5 linked regions of the Mus musculus genome follow. The protein of the gene in region 1 purifies or fractionates together with the protein of each later gene. This does not show direct contact. Links are inferred from orthologs where the notes say so. Each region holds a gene or a part of one and is shown in the gene's direction. Other genes may lie near its edges.

Region 1 (3,514 bases):
CCCTTCCTTCACCCTTGGACCTTCTGCCTTTCTGTCTCCATCACTCTCCATTGTAGCATATACCTGGATTTAGATCCAGCTGAGCCACTCACTAGCTATATGTCCTTTGACCATATTCCTTATTTTTTGAGTCTGTCACAGTGGGGCAAATGGCCACATCCCTCATGTGTGGCTGCACTTAGCTGGGGTTCCACATCTTCCCTTTGCCCAGCGCAAGGCACCTGCCATCATGTTTGTGGCTCTGGTGTTTCCTTCTGTCTCCATCTATACAGCGTAGAGAGTACAGAGTCTACACCCAGTCACTTTCCCTACTCTCCATTTCTATTCCCTGCCCCAAGGTTGCTCTGAGAGCATCCAGGTTCTAATGATAACACCCAACTGCCTGGTGGCCCCTTAAGTCCTCTCAATGTCACTGCCACGTCATGTGACCAGAGGGGGTTTAGTATTAGAGCTTGAAGAGAAGATCTGGGAAGAAAAACCAAGCCAATCTTGAACACACCATGTTTGCTTTTGTTTCTCTTTTCCTCCCTTCTTCCCATGTTGGTCTCTTCATTTGTGGATGCTGCAGTGCTCTCTCAAATAAGTAATGGCTATGGTAGGGTCAGAGATGGGCTGTGGCAGGGGTCGGTTGGGGATGACAGCTGTGAGAAAGCCTTGGGACAGTGGAGGAAAGTGAGTATAACAGTCAGGCTGGTGAGAGCCCTGTGCCCTGCTCCCCCATCTTTGGTGCCACCTTTCTTGTCTTTCCCAGCTCTTCTTTTCCTCCTATTCCCTCCCCATTGATGCTTATCATGTCTAATGAATCTTTCTTAGTCAGGGTTTCTATTCCTGCACAAACATCATGACCAAGAAGCAGTTGGGGAGGAAAGGGTTTATTCAGCTTACACTTCCATACTGCTGTTCATCACCAAAGGAAGTCAGGACTGGAAATTAAGCAGGTCAGAAAGCAGGAGCTGATGCAGAGGCCATGGAGGGATGTTCCTTACTGGCTTGCTTCCCCTGGCTTGCTCAGCCTGCTCTCTTATAGAACCAAGACTACCAGCCCAGAGATGGTACCACCTACAAGGGGACTTTCCCCCTTGATCACTAATTGAGGGAATGCCTTACAGCTGGATCTCGTGGAGGCATTTCCTCAACTGAAGCTCCTTTCTCTGTGATAGCTCCAGCCTGTGTCAAGTTGACACAAAACTAGCCAGTACAGAATCCATCCCACATCAGGTCATGGAGTTATTGAAGGGAGACTAGATGCCCCAAGCATCCAGGCCTCTTCTATTACCAAGGTACCTCTGATTCTTTCTGGACATCACTATATCTTTGTACCTTAGGGACCTCACTCCGCTCCCTAGAGCCACTGCAGTTACCAGACTTTCCTGCTGCGGTTTCTGGACCCTCTGCATTTGCGCCAGGTCACAACATCCCTGACCATGGCTTACGAGAGACACCAAGTTGCCCCAAGCCTGTCCAGGACACCCAGCCACCAGAGTCCCCAGTAGAGGTAAGTCCTCACAGTCTGTTTTAAGCTGCCTGCTTTTGTGTGCCTGTCTGCCCACTTCTGCCCACCCAGCCTTCCAGAAGCCCCTTCCTACCTCCTGAAAATCTTTCCTGCTAAGAATGCTGGGGTTACCTAACTGGCTACCTAACTGCTGGCCATACCTGTGGACCCCTTAGCATTCTGTCTTTAGCTAGCTAAGAGGTCATGGTTTTGAGGTCTTTGCAGTGGTCATGTGACATGTTGAGCTGGGTAAAAAAAAAAAAACAAAAAAACAAAAAAACAAAAAACTGGAGGTTAAACCAGATTTGAATGTGAGGGAGGTGATATGAGGGCTCAGGAAGTCATGGATGGGTGGTGACAGAGCTCTTATCAACTGTAAAGTCAGGTATCTGGAAGATAACTAGTTCTACTGAGATGAAGTGAGTTAGCCATGGGGTATAGAAGAAACCCTAGGCCTAGACAATGGGTCTGAAGCCATAGGGTCTGTGCAGAGACTGCTGAAGAAAGGGCAGTGGTTACAGAGCTAGACACACACATGGGGAGGAAACTTGGGCAGTGCCTGCTTTTTGTTTTGTTTTGTTTTGTTTTGTTTTGTTTTGTTTTGTTTTGTTTTTATGTTTTTTAAAGCACTTGAAGTCATCCCGAGAGGCTGGGGATGTAGCTTTCAGTTGGTGCAGTGCTGATCTGGCATACACATATCCCTGAGCTCAGTATCCAGCACCATAGAAACTGGGCATGATGACATATACCTCTAAGCCTGACACTCAGGAGGTGAGAAGCAGGTGAATGCAAAGTTCATAGTCACCCTTGGTAAGTTCAAGGCTAGGGTGAACATAAGATCTGATCCAAAAACAAAACAGCAACAGCAAAACCAAGTAGGTACTAGGATTGAAGACTTATATTTGGCAAGTATAATATTGAAGAGCTACTTCACTCTTATATGTGAAGGTTTCTGAGGATCCTGGGCTCTAGAGGAGGAGCTGAGGCCTGTAGGAGATACCCTATAAATATCTGCTGCCCTTTGTCAGCTCCTGGGAGAAGCAACTGCTTTATCTCATTTCCTCTGTTTCAGAATTCAGAGCAACTCCTCCAGACCAACTCCGGGGCCGTCGCGAGGATGTCTGGTGGCTCTTTGATACCCTCTCCTAACCAGCAGGCTCTCAGCCCTCAGCCCTCCAGAGAGCATCAAGAGCAAGAACCAGAACTGGGTGGCGCCCACGCAGCAAGTATGCATAGAGTGTGGAATTACAGGGTCTCTTGGATCCCTCGCAGGAAGGTTAGGGTTACAGTTACCATATGGCCTTCCTTAGACAGGAGGCAGGGTAGAAATAAAAGGTATTCGCTTCACAGAGTATGTTCTGTGTGCACGCCTGTGTGTGCAGTAGTGGCAGCAGCAGCTTCAAATGCAGTCATTTATGTGCACATGTCTCAGCTGGGTAGGTCTTCTTATCTCGCTGAGTTTTCTCTCAGGTGTTTACTGACATATACATGTGTTCTTCTACTATCCATTACCTGGTACCTCTTCATTCTCTTTTCTTCTAGGACAAAAACCCAACTCATGACATCTGGGCAAGGCTCTAGGTAAAAGAGAAGCAGAGCTCTGAGCATAGGCTCAGAACTGGCCTATTTCTCCTGCTCTGTTCTGTGGTCAAAATAGATTAAAATTTTAATTAATAGATTAAAATTTTAATCTGGCCAGCCCAGATTAAAAGCACATTGGAGGGTGTAGTTTTTTGCCCTGTGAGTGTGTATTTTTGTACATTGCTGCATATGAGAGAGAGCTAAGGCTGTTTCTGCACTCAGGTAAAAGGTAGTGATTGTCCAGGACCTGAAGACAGGAAAGATAACATACAATAGTAGCTGATGAAGGAGCTTTTAAACACTGCTCTTCACAAGGGGATTTCTAGTTCCCAGCTGTGGTGGTTTGAATGAGAATGGCTCCCATCGCCTTCTACATCTGAATACTTGGTCCCCAGTTGGTGGAACTGTTTAGAAAGAACTAGGGGGTGTAGTATTGTCAAA
Region 2 (3,514 bases), on another chromosome or scaffold:
AGAGCCATCTTGACAGAGTCATTTCCACTCTTGGGAGTAGGACTCTGTTCTTTGGGGATGCAGGTGATGGCCCTGAACGTCACTGTGGCCATCCCAGTGTCCTCGCAGAAGGGCTTCTGAAGCAGGTAAGTACTTCTGAACCTCATGGAAGGTTCTGGAAATGCTTCACATGGATTGTATGAGTAACTAGACTGCCAAGAGAGGGAGGAAAGGACCAGGGGGCAAGAATCTGACATTGACTTAGCCTCCACTCCACACCAGACACCTTGACCTCACTCAGGGGTCCCATCAGCCATTAAGTTCACATTCTCCCTGATGTATGGCCAGAGAGAGAGAGCAACCAGAGAAGTCCCGGAGCTGCGTGCTGATGGAGGAGACTTTTTCCCATCTGTATCTGAAGCAGAGGAGAGAAGGAACAAACACAATTGGTCGGCCTCACACTGATTCTGTCTCTTGCAAATGACTGAATGGGACATGCAGTGGGAGGGCTGTCTGTGTGGATGTTCTGCCCCAGCCTCAACAAACTTGGCTCTTAAGAGTTGGTGGGGAGGATCCACATATAGCTGGACTCTTTTCTCCGGCACAGGTAACAAGGGAGACCAGACACAGTCCACTTTTAAACCCGTACAACCTTCGAAGAAGACCATTCGTAAGTAGCCCCCCGTTTTTTTTCTGGTGTCCGTGTGGCTGTGGCTGGCAGATGCATGGTTGAAACTGTCACAGGGGCTACTGAAGCTTCTAGATGGTCACAGACCATCTCAGTTTTTCACACGTGTGTGTTTGTGTGTGTGTGTGTGTGTGTGTGTGTGTGTGCATGCACTGTGATACACATGTGGAAATCGGGAGTCAACCTTGGGTGTCAGTCCTTACCCTCCACTTTATTTGAGGCAGGGCCTCTTACGTGCCATGGTATAAGTCAGGCTTTCTGGCCTGGAGGCTTCTGGGGATCCTGTGATAGACAGCCATCGTCTTGCTGTATGTAAGACTTCTGGGATTTCAGACGCATGCTAGCCTATCTAACCTTATCTGGGGTCTGAAGATCTGAACTCAGGTTCTCAGGCTTGCATGGCATCTGCTTCACCCACTGAGCCATCTTCCCAGCCCCGTGTTTCTCTCTCTTTCCCCCTATTGCCCTCTCCCAGTGAGCTATAGAAAATGTTTCCCTAATTATCCCTACCAGTGAGAATTTGATTCTACACACGCACAGTGTATATTGGTTTATTTATAAAACGGGTAAGCAGACTGGTGGCGCACACCTTTGATCCCAGCACTTGGGAGGCAGAGGCAGGTGGATCTCTATGGGTTTGAGGCCAGCTTGGTTTACATAGTGACTTCTAGGACAGCCAGGGCTATGTAGAGAGACCCTGCCTCAGAAAAAGAAGAGAAGAGAAGACTTTTTACATCCCACACCTCAAGCATTGGATTTTACCCCTGTTCCCATCCCCTCAACAACAATGGTGTCCCTGTCATTGAGAATGTGGTTATGGAGTTAGGAGTGTGAGTCTCCTTGTCATTCACATTTGGAAAACAGTGACATTGGAGCCCATGGGATTTTAAGAAAATAAGTGATGTTCCCATGGGGACATACCGGTTGTGAGAGCTCTCCATAACCCTTAAGGGAAGCTGTGACTGTTTCCCCAAGGTCAGTATGAAATGGCATCAGGGTGCCCTGGTGCCAGTGAGTGTCGGGAGGATGAGAGGACTCCGTGCGTTGCATTGTTGCTTGTGCCTTGTCTAACGTGTGGGCTGTCGGTATCGGTTCCTCTGAGGGCTGGAACACCTGGTGACCTTGTGCTTTTTTTTTGGATGGAGAAGAGGAGCCCTTGGGAAAGAAAGCAGGGTGTTCTTAAAGCCCTATTGTGATACTTAACCAGCTCTATTTATTTTCTGACTTTCTCTTTTTTTGCTTGCTTTTTTTTCTTTCTTTCTTTTGTAGGGCTCTCATCTACCAGTAGTAAAATGCACAGACCCTAAATGTACAGTCAAATACATTCTGACAAATGAGTTCCATGTCACCATTACCCAAATCAACAGAAACACTTCAGAGAAAATTCCTTCCTCTTTCCTAACAGACAGTGTATACCCACCCACCATGACCCTGGTGAGGGTTCCTACACTTGTTGATGTGTGTTATCAGCCACTGCCTTATAGTTTAAGTTAATCCATCCTTCTTTAACTGGTATGAGTCAGATGTATGCTGGTGAGTGCTACTATGGTCTCTTGTGTGTGTGACAACATGCTTTAAAATATCCTAATCTGAAAATCTTTCCTTTTCAGAAGAAAAGAAGACCAAGAAAACCCGTAAGTTGTGCATCTGTGTATCTTTTTGTTCTCGTGACTTGTGTGAGTCTAGAGCTAACATTGATAGCAACAATTGACCTGCTTTAACAAGGGTCCTGCGATGCACCTGTTCTTACAAATGTGTGCCCGTGAGGATGGCCATGGGGGTGCGTGGGTAGATAGTTGAATGGGTGGATGGTAAATGGGTAGGGCAGATAAAGAGCCCTCGTCTGGACTCACTTGTGTGGCCCTGGCTGGTCAGATGTGTCTGTGGAAGTTGAGAGTCATCTTGGAAGGGAAGAGAAGTCATCTAGTCCTCTGGGTTGTATTGCTATTCCATGGTTGTCCTTCCTCACCTCCCAGCTGTTGCTCCCGGCCCTCCCTCCCACTTCTCACCTAACAAGTTGCCCACCTTTGGAGCTCCTGGCCAATCACTGGATTCAAAAGCAACTTCCCCTGATGGTGAGTGGTGTGCACAGGCGCCAGGGAATTAGGTACCATTTGTCCTGAGTTCCCATCTTGATTACTATTCTCTGTTTTGTCTTCTAGCCGCACCCAAAGCCAGTGCTGCACAGCCAGACTCTGTAGGAGTCAAGGCTAAGGTGCTAGAAAACTTCTTAACCAAGTCCAGAACGGAGCTTCTGGAGTGTGAGTAGCTTGGCTCTGTGGGTGCCTTCATGCATACCTGGGTGGATGGATGGATGGATGGATGGGCAGGTAGGTGGGTGGATGAATAGGTAGATGAATGGGTGGTCAATGCACCCATTGGGGAGTAGGTAGCTAGGTGATGTGTGTATCTGAGTAAGTGTTCTGATAGATGAATGGTTAGTTGGATGGGAGGGTAGGTGGGTAGATGGATGGGTAGTTAGATGATTGGGTGAATGGGAGAGTAGATGGATGGATGGATGGGCATGTGGATGTGTGGATGGAGAAAAATAAATGTTAACAGACGAGAAAAGCTTTAAAAGTGCAGGCACCTTGGGTCCCTTGTCAAAATTCCCTGGGGGGGGGGAATGTCTTCTCAGATTTCGTGAAAGTCATCTTCGACTACAATACCGCCCACAACAAAGTGTCTCTGTCAAACAAGTACACCACCGCCTCTGTGTCCGATGGGCTCCAGCACTACCGGTCCCATCCCCAGAGGTTCACCTACTGCTCTCAGGTCCTGGGGCTGCACTGCTACAAGAACGGCATTCACTACTGGGAGGTGGAACTACAGAAGAACAACTTCTGC
Region 3 (4,311 bases), on another chromosome or scaffold:
ATGGCCTTGAACTCAGAGATCCACCTGCCTCTGCCTTCTTGTACTGAAATTAAAGGCATGTGCTACCTCTACCCAGACTCTTTTATTTTTAATATTTAAAAAAATATGTGCAAAAAAATGTTCAGCCGGGCGGTGGTGGTGCACGCCTTTAATCCCAGCACTTGGAAGGCAGAGGCAGGTGGATTTCTGAGTTCAAGGCCAGCCTGGTCTACAAAGTGAGTTTCAGGACAGCCAGGGATATACAGAGAAATCCTGTCTCGAAAAACCAATAAATAAATAAACAAATAAACAAACAAATAAATATGTGTATGGGTATTTTGCATGCATGTGTATTTGTGTACCATATACATGCAGTGCCTGAAGAGGCCAGAAGAGGGCATCAGATCCACTGAGAATGGAGTTACAGATGGTTGTGAGCTGCTGTGTAGATGCTGGGAATGGAACCCAGGCCCTCTGGAAGAGCAGCCAGTGCTCCTAACGGCCGAGCCATTCTCCAATCTTAGAAGAACATCTCTTAAAATGCAAATATGCCCTTTTCCATGCTGCCCAGTGACTTTTTTCATTCTGACTTTTTAACAGCCAGTTCAAATGTCAGAGTCTCTGCTAGAGGCAGGTAGTAATTTTCCTAATAGTTTGCCTCGACTTCTGAAGAAATTCATTGTCAAGTATGGTGGGTCCCTGCATGACTTGCTCTGCTTGGCAGCCCAGGGTGAATGTTCAGTACTGGCCTAACACCACACATGGAATAAATGGACAATCGCCTAGATAAAATTATCACCATTGGCCTTCTGTTCCTATGGAGGGTAGACCACAAAAGCCTCTTCCCAGCCGGCCCTGAGGAGCCTCTCTCTCTGAGTTCTCTACTTCATGTCTGTTCTTTGCACATTGCACACCAGTGTTTGCATGTGGAGGCGTTCCTTGTTTGAAGGTCACTGTCAGCTTGGTTACGAGAACCTTGGGTGTTCCTTGAATGGAAGGGATGAGGGTTGGGGTTTTTAGAACACGGAAGTCCCAAGGCTAAAACCATGACGGGATGTCAGACAGGAAGAACAGGTTGGAGAAGGAAGTTATCTGTCGGTACCCATTCTTCCTTCCTGGCCAAAGTGGTCAGAGGCCCCCCTCTAGAGTCTTGGGACTGAATAACACAGAAGGGGAGGATCCAAGAAGGGCTGTCTTCTGCCTGGAGGTAAGCTACGTTTGTGAGCAGGAAGGGAAGTCATTATGCTCTGGGGATGAGTACCTAAGTGTAAGGAAGGCCTAGACCGGAGCTTTTCTTCTGAATCATCTACTTCCAACAGGGACGACCTGCGCCCGAGTCATTTTCTCTTCCACGCTTCCGTGTCTTCATCTGTAAAATGGGCTTCATCAAGTCCAGACTTGGAGGTGGATGAGGTCATCGGCTGGGCCTGACGCTTGGGAACCTGCAGGGGGCAGTACGGGAACCTGGGCCCTGGGAAGACCGGGTGGGGCCGGAGTCTCCGCCCCGCGCCAGCACCCCATTCCCCCTTCTGCGGGTCTTTGCTCAGTGCCCTCCAGTGTCCAGACCGGGCGGGGTGCCAGAGTGGGCCGGGCTGCGCGCTGGCTGGCGGGCGGAGGCGGCCTAGACGCGCCGTGCCGAGCGAGCCGGGGAAGCTCGGAGCCAGCGGGAGACGCAGGCCTCCTTCCCTCCGGGCCACGGCGACGGGCACCAGGGCCTAGGCAACCTGGGTAAAGGCCTAACTGGGTCGATCGCTCCTCCGGCCCCCGGCTGGACGGCTGCGCTGGGCCCCGGAAGCAAGAGCCGGGCAGCTGGGTCGCGGGAGCGGGCAAGTGGCACTGGGGATTCTGCCGGAGCTTGGGCGCTGAATACAGGCCTACTGGCAGCTTCACTTTGCCCCCCCGCCCCCAAGCCAAGTGGAAGTGGGAAAGCTATTTGGGACCCAGTTTGGTGGAAAAGCTCCGCAACTTCTGTTGCATTCCTTCTTTTGATTAGTGCCATGACAACTGCTCGATTAGAGAATTATCCTAGACCCTGCACGTCTTATCTTGACTCAGTGGACCTGGGGCTGATTGATGTCAATCCTGGGATTTGTCAGGTTTTCAGGACCTTTCTCTAATCCCCAGGTCTCCTGTTTCCAGCCCACTCAAGACCTCAGCCAGCTCCTGCTCTGGCTAGTTGTGCTCAGTGCAGCCTCTTCCTAAGTTTGCTTCCCTTCTGCCCTAGCGGCAGTGAGGGAGGCCACGCCAGCCTAGCCACATATGCATGTCAAGGAGCTGTGGGATGGGGTGGGCCAGAATAGACTCCTTGGGAAAGAGTACCTTGAGCAGTATCTTCAAAGAGTGTCTGGGATTCTGATAAAGTAAATGCTAACCAAAGTATAGGGACTGAGTTAGGAAGGTGAGAGCAAGAATCCAATAGTAGTCTTGGAGGATGAGGTGTGGGCTGGGGGCAAACCTGGAAAAATAGCTTGTGTGGGCCTGGGTTTCATAGCTGTCAAGTAGCTTAGGAGTTTAGGGAGCTGATTTCTGCAGGGGATGAGGGAGTGGAATAGGCCAACAGTGGAGGCACAGAGGACTTGAGGAAGTAGGGTTTTGTAAGGTCTGGAAGGATCTCTCTGAAATGATGAAATGAAGAGGCTGGCAAAAACCAGTAGGGAGAGATCTGTAAGACTGCCACCGCTGCCTGTGGGGGAAGGCTTCGAATAAAGAGCAAGGGAATAGTGTGTGAATCCAGGGCTTGGGGGAGCTCTGCCACAAAGTAAACAGAGGAGGGGGGCTGACGAGGCCAGGTTGGCATGGCTGAAGTGTGAGGCAGAGGCGGCACATCCTTGTGTCAAGCAGGAAGTTCATTCACACATCCATTTATTATTTATGCCAGCCTTACAGGCAGCTTACATAAAAGTCAGAGAGATGATAAAGTGATACAGCCATTAAAACTCAGCCGTGGCACAAAAGCAGACGGAAATGAATAAGGATGAGTGGGGGAAAAAAGCCAGGCTCAGAAAAGGCCTGCGAGTGAGCACAGGGCTCCTATCTGAGCTTGCTAGCAGTCAAGCAAAAATAAAACCTAAAAGCAGATGATTGGGCTGGATCTCGGGGCAGAGGCAGCTGTGAAACTCCAGTGCCAGGCAGGAGCTGGTAGGAGATGAAACAGAATCACTCAGGTTAGGATTATCTTTGCTGAGGAGAGCTAGAAGCCAGGGCAGGGTTTCAAAGGCTTCTTTTATACATATGAGGAAGGGCTGAGCCTCTCTTGGGAGATGGCCCCTTCTTAGATACTAGGGGTAAGGGTTCGAGAGAAAGCAAGAGAGGGAGGGAGAGGTGTGTGTGTGTGTGTGTGTGTGTGTGTGAGAGAGAGAGAGGTATGTATGTGTTTGTATGTGTGTATATTTGTGTGTGTGCGTGTGCCATGTGTATGTGTGTGTGTGTCTGTCAGTGCATGTGCCTGTCTCTGTGTATTTGTGTGCATGTGCCATGTGTATGTGTGTGTCTGTCAGTGCATGTGCCTGTCTCTGTGTATATGTGTGCATGTGCCATGTGTATGTGTGTGTGTGTATGCACATGTAAGGGAGGTTTGATGGCCGTACATTCACAGTACTGGGTTGTTTTTTTTAAATTTACTTTATTGGTGTTTTGTTTGTTCTTACGTTTTTCTTTTATGTGTTTATTTATTTGTTTATGGTGGGTGCAGGTTTGGCTGTGTGCAAAGGTCAAAGGACAACTTTGGGGAACAGTTCTACCCTGTAGGTTCCTGGGATTGAATGTGGGTCCTCAGGCTTGGTAGCAGGAGTATTTACCCCTTGAACCATTTGCCAATCCCACTCACACTTTTCTTTTTGCAGGGCAACAGGAAAGAAAGTGGCTCTAAGTGTTCCAGGCTCCAGTTTTCCTAGGATGAGGTGGGGCTGCCATTTGCCCAGGACCTCTTGGGGCTCTGGCCTGGGAAGAACACCCCAGCTACCAGGTAAGCAGGAAATGAAGGTTTCTGCTTTGACACCCCCCCGCCCCTTCTGCTTCTGGGTCCGGATGCTTCCAAAACAGCAGGGATCCAGACACCATTTCCAGCTGTGTGGTAATATAGCTGGGGTCCTCTGGCATGTCACCTCTTCCACCCCCCCCCCATCTTAGACAAGGGGAGCAGAGCTGGCCCTCTTTTAGCTGTTTCAATCTCATTTTTTTTTTTTTTATCCAAGACATTAGCTGCATGTTGGCTCTGCACCAGACCGTGGGTTAGGTTCTTGGTATATAATTGTGACAGAACCAGATGTGAGTCCTACTCTCATGGAGGGGGGAAATGGATGATAATCAAATAATCATATGGCTAAAGAGAAG
Region 4 (3,514 bases), on another chromosome or scaffold:
GGGTGGCAGAAACGGGATTGGGAGTACATAAAATGCCTACTATTCTACTGGTGTTTCTCAACCATCCACTGACTGCTCTTCCAGAGGACCCAGGTTCAATTCCCAGCACCCACAGGGCAGCTCACAACTGTATGTAACTGTAAGATCTGACGTTCCCACACAGACATACATGCAGGCAAAAACCAATGCACACAAAATAAAAAATAAATTTGAAAATTAAAAAAATAAAAAGTTTGAGGCTGCGGAGTCTATCACAATCCAATTTGGCTGGTTTACTTTGAAATTTCAGTTATCTTTGGTCAACCAGATGGAGGAAGACCATTTCAAAAACCTAGAAGTAGGGCATACTGCACTAATAGTTCTATTTTATTATTGGCTGTTAGTCTTTTTCTATCTAGGCTATGAGATGAACTTTATCATAGGAATGTTTAAGGAGAACAATGAGTTCAATGTAATCCATGGTTTCAGTCATCCGCCAGCCCCCTGCCAATAAGAGGGGACTGCTGGTTTTTGGAGGTGCATCTGGGCAATTAGTCCACTAAACTTTTTTAAAAAGTTCAGGATGCCCATGGATCAGGGACGAAGAGCTCTTCCCTTCCCTGAGGCCACAGCAGCTGCAACTGTGTAAGAACCATTCTGTCTGTACATGGAAACGACTCTATATCAGTTTCGGTTAGAGAGCTGCTTGTCTTGAGTCTCTGCTCCTCACATTTGGATAAACGGATAGCATGGATCAGCAGGACCGGTCTTAGTCCTACTGTGTGAAGAGCGCAGTTGTGAGGGATATGCTGTGTGAACAAGGGTTAGAACCTGGAGGTCCTGAGCACATTGTCAGTGTGCTGTCTTCCCCAAAGGCCACAGTACTGTACCCTCAGAGCTTAGCCCCTGTGAGCCCCATCCTACCAACTGTTTTTCTCTCCTATTTGAACAGCTCTGGAAAAGGTGCTAGACCTTTCCCTCTTCTCTTCCCTCTACTTGGGATTGGAAAGATTCCATTTGGTTTTTTGTTTTTGTTTTTGTTTTAAATCATCACTTGGTGTTTTGCTGTCAGGTCTTTCAATGAGGCAAGAAAGACTTAGATGTTGCCTGGGAAATGTAGACAAGGATATAAGCTACTCCTGGTTATTTACATTAGATTGATGGCCATTTTGTGGGGATTAAATTATGTGAGGTAGGAAATATAAATCTAAATAAAAAAAATTCTTAGTCTGATTTTCAGGCCTTTATTTGTCTGTAGGGGCCTTTTCAAAGTGTGCATTAGATGGACGATATTTTTGATATGTGAATGAATACTCTAATTTTTCCTAGATTTATTTGTAAATGCAAAATTGGGCAGACAATGTATGGTACTGGTTCAGGTGTCACCAAACAGGAGGCAAAGCAGTTGGCTGCGAAAGAAGCCTATCAGAAGCTGTTAAAGAGCCCGCCGGTATGTGTTGCCAGTTAGATTTAATTTGTACAATCATGATTCCCTTTGAAATTGACTTCAGATTGCTTTGTCTTTATACTGCGGGCATATGCCTATTGAGTAAAGAATGGTCCCTCCATCCTGTGTACCAACAATGATCCACGAACCATGGGGCCACGAGGGTCTGAGACATAAAAGTTCTATAGCAACTCGGGGTTGCTTTTTAAAACTTAGCCCAAACGTCCATGAAAAAATGTGTTAATTTTGTGATTGCAATTGTGGAGTTGGTGGCCACGGGGAGAGTATGTGCAGTAGTGTGTACCCAGTGACAGACCTCCTCAGAGAGGCCAGTTAGCTCCCTGTGAACAGTGATGGACTGCCTCAGGGAGACCAGTTAGCACCCTGTGAACATGCTAAGGGCTGTCCCTTCTTTCAGAAAACTGCCGGAACATCCTCTAGCGTTGTCACATCTACATTCAGTGGCTTTTCCAGCAGCTCGTCTATGACAAGTAATGGGTGAGCTTGGGTGGCAACAGTGCTGGGCAGGCTGAGGGTGTGGCATGTCTGAGGCTGTGGGTCCTGATCCCCCCCTCCCCACCAGACTGAATTCATCAAGGTTCCCCTTTTCTTGTAGTGTTTCCCAGTCAGCACCTGGAAGTTTTTCCTCAGAGAACGTGTTTACGGTAGGATACCAGCCTTGAAGTTTCCCATTTCCCTTTCTCTCCTCACTTAGATGTGATCTTTCCATATGATTATGATCATTTCATAAGTTTTACATTTCAGTTTCATGTCCTTACTAGATCATGATATTAACAGTCATTGCCTCTTTTCTGTTCTCTTTATTAACTTTCATTCATATTAACTTCTCTTCTTCAAGGACAAAATTCTTCCCCACTCTCCCCCATCCTTTCCCACCCACTTTGTAACCCTCCCTCCCTCCCTCCCTCCCTCCCTCCCTCCCTTCCTTCCTTCCTTTTTCTTTTCCCTTCTTCCCTTTCCTCTCTCCCTTCCTCCTTTCCTCTTTCCCCCCTCCCTCCTTCCCTCTCTCCTTCTCTCCCTTCCTCCCTCTCCTCTTTCCTTCACACTCTCCATCCCCTACCCCTACTCCTCCCTCCTTGCATCCTTCCCTGTGCTGGGATTCAAATTCTAGCTATAAATAGGTATTCTAGCCAAGTTCTGCTACTGAACTCTCTCCTGGCCCTTACCTTTGTTCTTTTTAACGTTTCTACTTTCTTTTTCCTTGTCCATTCAACTGAATAATATTTGGTGTAGTTCCACCCCTACTTAGAATCAGAACTAAACTTAAAAATCAGGCAATTTGTTGTAAAAATCCATCTATTTACTAAGAACTACAAGTCTGTAAGAAAAAGACAGTTGATCCAGTAGAACAGATATGGTCTGAAGGGATGTGCTACACCTAAGTGGGCAGCGAGTGGGAAAAGATGCTTCATTCCCCTAGCGATGAGGAAAGTGCACCTCCAAATGGCCATTTGATGGCATGCCACAGCTGCTTGGCAATCCTGCAGTAAGCGTTGGTAGCGACTCAGAGAAATGGCCGACCTAGGAAGCTGATGTAAGGAACCTGGTCACGGGGCCAGCTCCCAAACTAAGACGATGGCTCTCCTCATCTGAAACAGCTTCCTTTTCCTTTTGTTGCAGAACGGTCTCGGAGAAAATAAAAGGAAATCAGGAGTGTGAGTATCATTGTGCACGGAACATATTTCAGACTAGGAATCTCTTTCAGACTCCGTCTATCAGACTCACCTGTTGACTGTGGCACTGACAGAACATTGTACGTGTGTGTTTGGGTGGTAGTCTCAGAAGCAGTGGAGAGCTGGAAACCAATTTAGCAGGAGAGAAACACAGAAACACACCACACACTTACACACTCACATCTTTGTATCTGTAGATACAAAAGCCCTGTGATGATGTAGCAGGCGCCAGTGGTGGGCTTGAGGGTGGGGAGACAGGGTGGTGGCATGGCTTTGTGGGGCTAATTCTGGTGACCTTTGAACATCTCACTGCAGATGGCTCACTATCAGAGAGGCATGAGGGCCAGAGGGAGGGGGGACCCAGGAGACCTTTGTCCTAAGGATGTTCTGAGTC
Region 5 (4,056 bases), on another chromosome or scaffold:
TTATTTTATTTATTTTATTTTATTTGTTTGTTTTTGAGACAGGGTTTCTCTGTGTAGCCCTGGCTGTCCTTGAACTCACTTTGTAGACCAGGCTGGCCTCGAACTCAGAAATCCGCCTGCCTCTGCCTCCCAAGTGCTGGGATTAAAGGTGTGCACCACCACGCCCGGCTTTTCTTTTCCTTTTTTAAAGATTTATTTATTTTATGTATGTGAGTACACTGTCGCTGTCTTCAGACACACCAGAAGAGGGTGTCAGATCTCATTACGGATGGTTGTGAGCCACCATGTAGTTGCTGGGAATTGAACTCAGGACCTCTGGAAGAGCAGACAGTGCTCTTCATCTCTTGAGCCATCTCTCCATTCCCTTGGTCCCTTCTTAAAGTCTTGTCCTTTAATCTGATCCGCAAGGCACCCGTTCTCTTTTCTTTCTTTTTTTCTACAAAGCTCTTAAAAAGCAGCAGAAATGTCTCAAAACCAAAAAATGCAATAGAATTTTTTTTTATCCTTAAACATGGCACTCCCTCGGAGATCTCAATAAACAGGATGCTCAAAGTCTGCAAAGAGCCCAACCGGCCTAATCCCGCCAGGAACTAGAGTCGGGCACAAGCAAACACAGCCCGCGGAACGCCACCAGCCGTCCACGAAAAAGAGTGGCTTCCGGAAGAACAGAAATGATGGGAGGACCAGAGGTCTTGCAGAGTTTTAGGTAGTTAGAATTGTGCCTGTAAACGTCTCTGACCATCAAGATGGGACGTTGATTAACGAGGTGCACTCCACACAAGTCTCACAATTTTTCTCGAGGAAATTACAGCATCTCACTCAGTCATTTTTCTTTAGGCGTTTCCAGTAGCCACCCCGGTCCGGTTGCACTCTGGCGCGCGCAGGGAAGAAACGCACATAGCCGGAGGGGGGCGGGGAAGTACTTAGAGTGTGCGCACGCGTGGCGCCGCTCACGCAGGCGCAGTGCGGTCCCCCGGGCGACGACGGCGGCGGCGGCGGCTCCTCCGGGTGGTCGGCTCCCTCCCATCTCGGCCGGCCCGGGCCCGTCTCGCCCCCCAGAAACTCACTGTTCGGGGCTGTGGACTTTCTCATCGTGCCCCACGAAAGTAAATCGGGGGAGACTGGGGGAGCCGGAAGTACCGCCTCGAGATCCCCCCAAATACGATCGGGGAAACGGAAGTGGCCCTTGGTGCCAGGTTGGGGGAGACCGGAAGTGACGGTACCGTGGGGACGTCGGGGGCGGAGCCACAGGGTGGTGGGCTGTGTATGTGTGTTTGTATGTGTTTGGTCGCGTGTTGGTTAAGTCGTGTTGCTGGAATACCGAGGAGAGGCGGAGGCGGAAGGCGGGGGCGGTCAGCGAGCCCGTCCAGCCTCCCGTGAGTGTCCGCGGTCTTGGGTCGGTGGTGATTTAGGCGGGTTCGATTGTGGTGCTGCGCGTGCGCGAAGCCACTTTTCTCTGCCGAGTCTAGCGCGACCCTCCCCCCACCCCTCGCGTTGTCCTAGGATTTCCCGATCTCTCGGGCGCTTGCTCGGTCGCGACCGGTGATGACACTGGCCTCTGGTCGGTCTCGTGCTTGCTTCCCTGATTCCTAGCCCAACTGGCTCTCCCTATTGTGATTGGCATGGTGGAGCCCCTCCCACCTCTCGTCCTTCATCTCCCTATGCCGTCGATCTCCTACCCTTTGTGTTTCTGTTCCTGTGCCCCCGAATCAAAAAGGGGGGATGAGAAGGAGGATGAATATATCTGCTTGTGTATGAGAAACTTTGAAGGGATTGGGGCGGAGATTGGGTCCAGAGAGGCTTCCGGGTGTATAAAATACAGTGCGACCGACAGCGAACCCCCCCCCCTCGTTCTTCTTTAGAGAGCTGTCGGCCATGGAGCCGAGTGATAGTGCCAGTACCGCTATGGAGGAGCCTGACAGCCTGGAGGTACTGGTGAAGACCCTGGACTCTCAGACTCGGACTTTTATTGTGGGGGCCCAGGTGAGACACCAGTACTTTGTAGAAGGATGCGCCTGATTTTCTTGTCATTGACTCTTTTGTCCCTTACTGGATAGGACATCTGATGTACCTATTGAGTGAGGGGATGTGGTTACTGTTGAGTGAGGCCGATTTGGAGTCTGTCTTCACTTTGACAGAACTCAGTGAAGAGGAAAGTAGAGAGGAGGGATCTATACCTGTTCTGTGCAGACCCCAGCCCAAAGAGACAGACATGACTCTGGCCTTTGGGACCAGACACAACACAGGGGGCACCTTGGACAAGAATGGTGTGTCACAGGGACCTCAGACAAGTTTGGTGTGGGTTTTTTTTTTTTTTTTTTAAACAGAGTGTTCACAGCTTGGTACTATTTTTATAAGATTAAGGAAACCTGCTTTCATCCACTGTGAAGTAGACTTGTCAATAGCTGAGGCATGGTTTGAGCCTCCTGACCTTAGTGCACTGTGGCCACTGCATAATTCTTTGAGACAACCACCATGAGGAGGTCATTTTTGTGGTTTTTAAAGCAGATATTTAAAAAGCCACATAGACTTTTGTCTGTAGGTACATGTGATAGTTAATTTGGCCCTACCAAGAATTACTTAATGTCTTTCCGGGAGGTGGGCACAGGATCTCCTATAGCCCAGGCTAACTTTGGCCTCTGACCACTGTGCCTTCGTCGTCTATGTGGTCGTCTATGTGCTAGGATTATATGCACTATAACAGAGGACCACATCTGACTTGGCTTGGTCCTTTTTTTCTTACATAGTGAAATGTCTTAGAACTGATGGTCTTGTACTCATGATCCTCCTGTCTCTGCTTTCCAAGCTTGGAATTTCAGTTGTATGCTATTGCTATTTTTGGTTTGTTTGTTCTTTTTTTCCACCTTCCCTTATTTTTATTTATTTATTTATTGCATGTATGTGGTTCTGATGGGTACTGAACCTTGGACCTAGCACAGAGCACTTACTACTGAACCGTATATTGTGTGTTCCTTTCTGACCTTTGTTAGTTATCTTTCCAGACCCTGCCTCCCAACCCCATGGTGGTAATGGTTGTTTTGGGTTGTGTGTATTTTTGGTTTCTTTTAGAAGATTGTATTTGTTTTTATTTTATATGTGAGTGCTTTCTCTGGAAATACACATGTGCACCTTGTGTGCACTTGGTGCCTGAGAAGGTCAGACTCTGCAACCTGTGGCCTTTTCTTCATGTGGAAGTTAGGAAACTATAGCCCCAAACTATAGCCCCTACTTTGTTACAGATGGTTGTAACAACCTCGAACTCAGAAATCCGCCTGCCTCTGCCTCCGGAGTGCTGGGATTAAAGGCGTGCGCCACCACGCCCTGCTTGCTTCATTTTGTGTTTTAAGTCAGGGTTTCACTTTGCAGTCATGGCTGTCCTGGTAGTCAGATCCACCTAGCTCTGTATCCTTGAGATTAGTGGCTGTGCCAGTGCCTGTCTATCTGCATTCAGCTTTGAGATTATGGCCTTGAACACCTGCTATTGTTTTAGTTTAGAAAAGGATCACTGGTATCTCTAGATACTGGATAGCAGAGAGGGAGAAAGGGAGAGCTATTCGGCTTCTTTCGTATAGGTTTTAGTTATTTACTGTTGTTGTGATTTGGATTTTTTTTTAAATTAATTTAATCTCTGTACATTGGTCTGACTATTTTAGAACTCACTACGTAAAGCAGGCAGGCCTCAAACTCACAAGAGATCCACCTGCTTCTGCCTCTCAAATGCTGGAGGCATACACACCACGTCCCACTTATTTTTAATTATGTATTGGTATGTGTCTCTGCCTCTGGGTACAAACGCTCATAGAAGCCAGAGACACTGAGTCTCCTAAAGCTGTGTTTACCAGTAGTTGTGAGCTGCTGCCCAACGTGGATGTTGGAAATTGAACTGGAGTCCTCTGCAAGACCAGTATGAGCTCTTAATCACCGAGCCATTTCTCTAGCCACACTCTTTTATTTATTTATTTATTTATTTATTTATTTATGGACATAATAAATATCGGCCTGTTGATATAGTTGGCTAGTGAGACTGTCTGATTTTGATGTTGGCATCTGAAGTCA

What was found.
Region 2: the proteins of Mavs (region 1) and Trim25 purify together in Homo sapiens (affinity purification with western blotting; 3 studies listed by BioGRID and IntAct, with this or other methods). This does not show direct contact. The link is inferred for Mus musculus from reciprocal best matches to the Homo sapiens genes MAVS and TRIM25.
Region 3: the proteins of Mavs (region 1) and Nlrx1 purify together in Homo sapiens (affinity purification with western blotting; 4 studies listed by BioGRID and IntAct, with this or other methods). This does not show direct contact. The link is inferred for Mus musculus from reciprocal best matches to the Homo sapiens genes MAVS and NLRX1.
Region 4: the proteins of Mavs (region 1) and Eif2ak2 purify together in Homo sapiens (affinity purification with western blotting; 3 studies listed by BioGRID and IntAct, with this or other methods). This does not show direct contact. The link is inferred for Mus musculus from reciprocal best matches to the Homo sapiens genes MAVS and EIF2AK2.
Region 5: the proteins of Mavs (region 1) and Bag6 purify together in Homo sapiens (affinity purification with western blotting; 3 studies listed by BioGRID and IntAct, with this or other methods). This does not show direct contact. The link is inferred for Mus musculus from reciprocal best matches to the Homo sapiens genes MAVS and BAG6.

What each region holds. Positions count from the first base shown.
Region 1 is NC_000068.7:131,240,555-131,244,068, forward strand, and holds part of Mavs (mitochondrial antiviral-signaling protein), read left to right. Parts: intron 1-1,325; coding exon 1,326-1,495; intron 1,496-2,564; coding exon 2,565-2,718; intron 2,719-3,514.
Region 2 is NC_000077.6:89,012,890-89,016,403, forward strand, and holds part of Trim25 (E3 ubiquitin/ISG15 ligase TRIM25), read left to right. Parts: intron 1-586; coding exon 587-649; intron 650-2,277; coding exon 2,278-2,301; intron 2,302-2,643; coding exon 2,644-2,742; intron 2,743-2,829; coding exon 2,830-2,928; intron 2,929-3,305; coding exon 3,306-3,514.
Region 3 is NC_000075.6:44,265,376-44,269,686, reverse strand, and holds the start of Nlrx1 (NLR family member X1), read left to right. Parts: upstream 1-1,499; 5' UTR 1,500-1,707; intron 1,708-3,821; exon of another isoform or gene 3,822-3,829; 5' UTR 3,830-3,873; coding exon 3,874-3,943; intron 3,944-4,311.
Region 4 is NC_000083.6:78,869,064-78,872,577, reverse strand, and holds part of Eif2ak2 (interferon-induced, double-stranded RNA-activated protein kinase), read left to right. Parts: intron 1-1,308; coding exon 1,309-1,429; intron 1,430-1,844; coding exon 1,845-1,924; intron 1,925-2,042; coding exon 2,043-2,091; intron 2,092-3,067; coding exon 3,068-3,102; intron 3,103-3,514.
Region 5 is NC_000083.6:35,134,253-35,138,308, forward strand, and holds the start of Bag6 (large proline-rich protein BAG6), read left to right. Parts: upstream 1-1,247; 5' UTR 1,248-1,266; coding exon of another isoform or gene 1,267-1,376; intron 1,377-1,395; exon of another isoform or gene 1,396-1,752; intron 1,753-1,862; coding exon of another isoform or gene 1,863-1,875; coding exon 1,876-1,983; intron 1,984-4,056. UniProt on the Homo sapiens protein: ATP-independent molecular chaperone preventing the aggregation of misfolded and hydrophobic patches-containing proteins.